2 linked regions of the Stegostoma tigrinum genome follow. The protein of the gene in region 2 interacts with the protein of the main gene of each other region in a biochemical or structural test. Links are inferred from orthologs where the notes say so. Each region holds a gene or a part of one and is shown on either strand. Other genes may lie near its edges.

What was found.
Region 1: the proteins of elna (region 2) and protein-lysine 6-oxidase form a complex in vitro, tested with the Homo sapiens proteins (2 studies listed by BioGRID and IntAct). The link is inferred for Stegostoma tigrinum from reciprocal best matches to the Homo sapiens genes ELN and LOX.

The regions. Positions count from the first base shown.
Region 1 is NC_081356.1:72,578,557-72,582,482, reverse strand, and holds the start of protein-lysine 6-oxidase, read right to left. Parts: upstream 2,631-3,926; 5' UTR 2,474-2,630; exon of another isoform or gene 2,193-2,473; 5' UTR 2,104-2,192; intron 1-2,103. UniProt on the Homo sapiens protein: Responsible for the post-translational oxidative deamination of peptidyl lysine residues in precursors to fibrous collagen and elastin. Regulator of Ras expression. May play a role in tumor suppression. Plays a role in the aortic wall architecture.
Region 2 is NC_081380.1:14,391,976-14,395,901, forward strand, and holds the start of elna (elastin a), read right to left. Parts: upstream 2,373-3,926; 5' UTR 2,125-2,372; coding exon 2,061-2,124; intron 1-2,060. UniProt on the Homo sapiens protein: Major structural protein of tissues such as aorta and nuchal ligament, which must expand rapidly and recover completely.

The sequences.
Region 1 (3,926 bases), on a different chromosome or scaffold from region 2:
GCATTTTAAAAATATTTGGCAATGCATTTGAGGTGTTATAACCTACTGGGGCTGCAGCCCAAGAAATGGAAGATGGGATTATATTTGATAACATTTTCCTGCCAGCATGGAGCCAGTGGGTTGAATCACATATTTTGTCATTTTACTTGCAAATTCTTTGTTTTGAATTCCCTCCATCTAGAAAATAAGCTAGAGCATTGTTAGTTTTTTATGGTCTTGTTAACTGGTGTAGCTACTTTCTACATCTGTAAACCTTAGATCTCTTTGGTCTTCTACTCGAGTTGGATACTTATTTTCGAAAATGTATGTGCTCTTATTCCAATTATCAAAGTATACATCTCATAATCATCTATATTGAAGTTGATGTACCAACATTTTTCTTCAAATACACATTAAGTTGACTAAGCTCTTCAAACTGGTGTTGCATTCTTTAGGTTTGCATGCATGTTCTAGTTCTGTCAAGCGTTTTGAGAAATGTTCAGTATTAAAGGTAATATAAATGGATATTGTTATCACATTTATTATTAGATTTTAAGCCATACACTTTTGATTTTATTAATATTAAGTAAATAAACTCCATCCAGTTCAATAGCATGACCAAGATCACTGATGTTTTAAAATAGAAAAACTGATGGAAATTTTTAACTTTAATGAGAAAACATTAAAGAAAGCTTCCAAAACCCTTAAATATAAACAAAATTTGACTTATTTAGTCAACATAAACCAATGTCTCTAATTGCAAACAGAATGCAGTCTCCCTAGCTTAACTAAAAATCCTAGAAGTACGTGCAATAAAAATAAAATTTGAACTATTCAGTTAATCATAAATCAGCACTCCTGGTCAGGATTTACAGTTCCAGAGAGAAAACACAGACATGCAAACACAGCTGAATAGAAGAAAATGAATTTTTTTTTATTATTAGTCTAGTATTCATAACCTAACCATAATTCCAGCATTCATCATATTAACATCATTTAGGCGCTCATTTTAATATACACCTGAAAGCAAATATTTTTATTAAACCAAATAAAACTTTAAAATCAAATTCCCAAAAGTAATTGTGTTGCACTTGATTATTCTTTATTGTGATAAACAAATTTCAAAACATTGTACAAAGTTGTTTCTGAAAAATACACTCCATCAAACAATACATACACAGATTTGATAAAGGTGAGCAAACTCATTAAAGGTTATAATTGAATGAAAAGAAGCTGGTTCCAGCGCCAAAACAATCAGTTGCTGGAGGGAACAGATTTAAACGTGACTGACACAAGAACACAAAGTAAGGCGATACAACATTGTTTTTACGCAGCAAGTTTCTATCTAGTATGAACTACCTGAAAAGGTGTTGCAAATTGTTTCAATAAGGACATTCATAAATAATTGACAAAAAATGGAAAGAAAACATGTTCATAAGATAGAGCGAGGGGGGATGTTGTGGGAGATTAACGTAGTTGATGAATTTCTCAATTAAAGAGCTGCAACTGGCATTATGGGCCGAATGGCTACGCACAACGAAACTACAAATCTCAATGATCAGCTTCCTGGAGCACTGGTTCTCCAGATTAGTCAGTTAATGCCATTTTCAGTGATACACCCTAAACGAAGCACACGGGACTTCAGAGATAACGGGAACTGCAGATGCTGGAGAATTCCAAGACAATAAAATGTGAGGCTGGATGAACACAGCAGGCCAAGCAGCATCTCAGGAGCATTCCTGAGATGCTGCTTGGCCTGCTGTGTTCACACGGTTTTTTGGATGTTGATCCTCATTAGAAGGGGAGTACAGGGTGAAAATAATCATCCATTTACCGGGTCCTTGACTACTGTGGGTTCAGCTGCCCTTAGAACAAAAATCTAGAAGTCTTAACACCGTCTCCTCTTGTGCCCCATGCGCTGCCCAAGAGAGTGAAGAGCCAGTATTGCTCCCTGTCATGGCCGTGGCCAGCTCCCCCCACCCTGCTGTGTTACTGCCTCCAATGCAGCCAGCCCAGCGGTCTTCCCAAATCAAAATTCCGAGCTCAACGAGGCCGCCAGTAGGGCCCCATGTACAAAATCGGGCAAGTTTCCAGAGGTGGGAGGGGAGGGAGGGAATGGCTTACCCACATCTCCAGGAACAGTCACGAACGATCCGCTACACCGCTCCTGCCTCTATCCGGGCCTGTGCATCCTGCTCATGTGTATCGGAGCTCTTTGGAAAAAAAACACAACCGAAAAGACAGGCAAGAAACAATGATTTCTCAGAACCTGCCTGCTGCTGGGCATGAAATCACCCGCCTCTGCAAAGAAGTTTTGCCGATCGAGAAGCGGCATAGCTGCAAACTCTCCGCTTGACTGGAGGAAATCTTGGTTGGGCTGGCACGAGAGGTTGGGGCGGGGCTCGACTCTGGGAGGGGGCCGGTGGAATCGCGAGCGCAGCGCGCGGTGGGAAACAGAAATCTCCAGGACGAACGATAACGGCTAACAGCTCACCTGCGGTGGCGGTAAGGATTCAACCTCATTCCGTTGGCGAGATGACAGAAAGAACCCGTTTGAAGTTCGAACACGGGTTCGGATTCTCTCCTTTCCATGATTGGAACTGTTTACCGTTAGGAACGACGGAGATAATCGATTCCGAACTTCAAACAAAGGAGCGGGGGCGGGATCTGTCACGCTGCCCTGGTCGCTTTTTGTGTGGCCATTGGCTAGCAGCCGGCGGTCTCGGTCACTGATTGGCTGATTGGCCTGTCAATCGACCGGAGGTCGGTGTTGAGGTGGTTGAGCGTGAAGAGTACGCGGCTGTACATGGACTGGTCAATACTTATGAATAAGCTCCATGATAGAAGCAGTGGGCGAATGCGGAACGGGAGGCTCTAGTTGGCGGCAGGTTTGGGTGTACGCTCGGGGTTGGGGAACAGGGCCGGTTTGCTCAATAACCTGTCACCACCTCGCTCCCGGGGCGCTGGCACTGTGCTGGGAGGGCAACACTCGATCCTGGGGGTCCGTGGAGGTGAGTGGCTGCTGTTCTTTCATAATGTAGCCAGGTCCTGCCCAGATGGGAAACAGGCGCGGGTGGGCGAAGCAGGATTGATCGGAATTCGTGAACTGCAGGCTGGATCGACTGTGAAGAGGATTGGAAAAGACCCTTCGCAGTTCTGTTTCACCTGGTGTCTGAGATTCTCTCTCTGCGGAAAGCAAATGTACATTGAGACACTGGTCACTTATGTTGATTGCCCTGTGCAAAATCTGCTGGACTCAAGTGAGGAAGAGTGCACGAAACATATGCACTTCTATATTTACATACTGTGTGTTAGTATCCTCAGTATACAACCAACTGTTTAGATAAGGGGACCAGATAATACAAGTAGGATTTGTAATCCTGTGATTGAGAGTATCAGAGGCTATTATTGCAGCGTTAACATTGGGCGAAAGAAGTGAAGCAATATCAGTAAACTTGGGTAGGCAGGACAATTATAGTTTGAGTAAATCTAAGAGATACAGAAAAGAAAATGGTTTTCATTTGCACGCGAGTAAGGCCGTAAACATGCGATTATACTGGGTTCCCAGGCAAGATGTGCTAAATATAAAAATCAAAATGTAGTTTGAACGTATATAAAACTTCAGCAAGATTACATTTGGACTATGTGTACTATTTCGAGTTCTATAGATAGTAAAATGATATGGTGATAATGATTGTGTGGCACAGATTCACTAAGATTCTGCCTGGTATCAGCATGTACAAATTCAAAAGAAAAGTAAAGCAAAATACTGTGCAGGCTAGAGAAAGGGGAGCTGTATTAACATTTGGATTGATGGCTGTTCTGAAAGGTCACTGGCCTGAAATATTAGCTCTTTCTTCCTTACACATCTATTATTTGACCCTATGTTTGTGTTCTGTTTAAGAGTTGGAACCGTTTTCATTAGAAAGGAACATTAAAGGGTATTT
Region 2 (3,926 bases):
TTACGCCACTTCACTTTTTCCACGACATTGGTGTTTACATTTTGAGCTGCTGCGTTGGATCAAATCCATATTATTAAAGAGGCGAATGAAAACTGGCCCTAGAAATCAACAGAGGCACAATATTTCCAACCACAAGATGTATGAACCCATTCCTACCGTCAGTTTGTAATTTTAGAAACTTTCAAATTACGGTTAAAATTTGCCATCTTTCCTTGTTTCGATCCTGTCCTGAAATACAATCAGGTAATGAGACGACAGCAATGGGCATTTGAGGAAAAAAGTTATCAAAAATAGTATTTTTTTATTTCCAATGAAAGACACCTATGCCGATTTAAGATGTTTGGTTAGCTCTTCAAGACTGACTTCTGTATTTAAGTTGAGGTATTTCTCTTCGCAACTGAAAAATCTAGAGGGGATATTTCCACTTCAGGATAAAAGTCAGGGTTTTGATAATGGAGGAGGGGATACCAGTTTACTGTAATTAAACAATTCGCTCTAAAATAAACTACAAATCGCCAAAGCTGGAAATCTGAAATGAAAGTTTTTCAAATCACCTGCAGGCTATTGCAGAAAGGAAATAGAAAATAAAAGTTTTTCCACACCACACAGTAAACGTTTCCGAGGAAGTCGAATTTCGGTTTGAGTATAATCGGAGTATTTTAAAACAATGTTATTTCATGCTTAACAAAACCTGCGGTTTACTGCTACTGACATTAACAATATAAAGTGTCTCCAGCATTTACCTTAATTAGATTAGAGTCAATTTCTTTACAAAGAAAAAGGAACATAGCAACAGCTTGGACCGTCAGATATTTCTGGGCTGCATTTCCTTATTCGTCTGTTTACTTTGAAGACAAATTATGTTTTTCCCGATTGCACACAGGTTACAAAGTTCACACAATAAGCTTCATTGGTGCATAATTTGTGATTTATCGCACGCTTCATCAATTCTTCCAACAGTTTGGGAAAATTGCAGCGGATGGGTCATTGCTTGACGAATGCTTGGTGAATGTTTAGGATTCTCAGTCAGGTGCCAATTCCAGCTCCTATGCAGCAGCGAATTAAATGGAAAGCTCTAATTGGCAGAAGCCCACATTAGAGACCTCAAAGACTCGGAATGCCAAAAAGCGCAGTATTGTGCACCGCACAGTTAAAGTTGGGTCGAGGGCTAATCTGGTTCATGGTTGGACTTGCATTTCGCAGGTCGGAGATTGAGAGGTTTCCTTGTTCTGACACAAAATTGACAGCCTATCTGGCCACAGACTGTACACTGATTGAATTAAAAACTGCTAGAACTGTGAAGTCAGTGCGACGCCACTACTCTGTTATTGTTCACTAGTATGATAAGAAATGTAGTGAACCAAAGTGTGAAAACTTGTTCGTTTCAGGCAAAATTTATTTTTAAATTATCTGTTTGCTGCAGTTACTGCAACGTCAGTCTCAATATTTAAAGAGATTTTCAGTCCGACTCCAATCCCTGGTCATAAATCTCATTCCCAACAGTCCTGGAATACCGAACAGCTCCCGGCAAGAAGGCGCGCGCACCCACCTATGGATCGGGGTGGGGGGTGGGATGGTGGAAGGCAGGCATGCCCAACCAAACCGCAGACCAGGAATATGAAGTAAAGAAGTTATAGTAATAAAAAGGGGAGGGAAGGAAAGGCACAAAAATTTACACGAAGAAACGGTAACGGGCAAAGATGTACAAGGAATAAGCAGGTCACATACATTTGCGACTGTAACTCTTAAGTTGCAGTCACGTAGTTTGCAATTCCCATCGGAATTCTAGCGCAAATCTTTTCTAAACGAAAGCGATTGAACTGTAGTGAAAATACGTGTTTGGTCAGTGTTGGAGACTTCTCAGCAGAAAACACAGATAGAAGTCTTCAAAACTCATCCAATTTCCCCTGAAGCGTAAGGATCGCCCGCATAACTTTCAAAGTAAAGAACATTCTTCCTTAATATTTCAGAGCAAATGTAGGGCACATCGCCACTGCTAGCGGCGATGTATTATTTAATCAGAATCACGAAGAGACAGTGCAATCGCTATGCGTGCTCACCTCCTTGCAGAGTCGTTTTGATGAGGATCATGAGCAGGTATCCCTGTAAGAGCGTCGTAGCCATCTTGTCAGCCACTCCACAAAATACTAACTCACTCTAAGTCCAGGCGCTTTTATTCACTCGACCCTAATTGCCACTTGTAAGAGACGGATATGGACAATACGTAATTAGTCAGGGACCCAACTCGGTCCTTGTAGCCAGTTGACTTTTCTCCGCTGCGGCTTTTTTTTCCTGGTCAGTCCTGCCAACATTGCAGAACTCCTGCCAGAATCTCGGCAATTGCGTCTATTTTCTCTGCCAGGTCGTTTGCATGAGCTCTGAGAATTTATTAGAAAAAAAGGACAGCGAGTCAGCCAGATAAGGCAGTTCGAATTTTGCAGACAGTAAGGATCCCAGTATGTGAAGAGAGATGTTAATTTGCAGCTTGAGTATCAATCTAATTTTTACACGTTGTATCTACTAAACAGGCGACCAACATGCCCAGAGTCAGGTGCATTTTTAAAGAGATCTGATACTAAACTGAGCTATACCTGTACTTGGTAAGAAACTCCAATACCAATTTATTTAGACGGCTAGTTATATAGGGGCTACTTGCACTGCTAACTACTTATAATGCAAAAATATGTATTCAGTTCAAATGAACTTTGTATATAGACCTCTTGCATAAACAGGTATTAGAGACATGGACTATAAATTCTGGAAATCTGCAAAATCCGCAAAAATGTTAGATATATACAAAGGTTACAATTGCCTCAGCAACAGAAAACATTTTTAAGTTTCAGTCAGTGGATTGCAATCATTGGACTCTTGCATACACAGATATATCTCACATACATGGCAGATATCTTAATCCAAACAGATTTGAATAGATAACTGAGTAAAGTGGGAGATACGCATCAATTTGCTATCTTATTATAATTTAAACTGGCCTGCAGACATTGATGTGTAAATATGTACACACAGTTAATTGACAGATACAACACTAAATCAAGAATAAAGTTAATGTAAAAACGTAGAAAAAAGCGAATATTTTTCAAGTGAAGTATGCATAGCAGCAGGGCAAGCCAACAGTTCTCGCATGATGTCAGTCAAACAGCTTGAGAACCATTTACAGACTTTTGATTAGTTCTGTTACTAATGTCAAAACTGTCCTTTTCAATTTTACAGGGTTTTACTTACTTTGTTGGCTGATTCTGTGCCGTCCACCCAGCTCACTGCCAAGTGAGACATTTCATTATTTATTTTAAATGCCAGTAATATGTTTTCTTTTGTTAATCAGTCAGGGATATAGGTTCAGACTGTGCATAGCTTGTTTTGTATGTTACCAATATTACAGAACTTTTGGTACATGATTTTTCAATTTATATGTATGAGATTGGAAGGTTCCTTGTTAAGTACCCTGTGAGAGAAATGTCTGTATGCACATATTAAATTTTCCAATTCAAGTTTAATGGAGGGCATCTTGTAGTTTATGTTGTTTTAAATATTTTTATCTTCATCTGTTAGTTCAAAATATTTTGTACCACAAATTGCTGGAAGTGTATGTTGATACAAATTCATAACTCTCATCCAAAGGAGCATTCTTGGGGTTACCATTGATCAGAAACTGAAGTTGACCAGTTATATGCACAGTGTGATTACAACAGCAGATCAGGGACTAGGGATTTGGCGCCAAGTAACTCACCCCTGACTCTTCAAAGTTTGACCATCATCTACAAAGCTCAAGTCAGGAATGTGATCTAATATTCCCCATTTACCTGCACGCTGCAACAAGACTCAATTGGTTTGACAACATCCATCAAAGCAGTGCACTTATTGACACCTGTCCTCCACTTTTGAAAGCCGCTGTCTCTACCACTGACTTA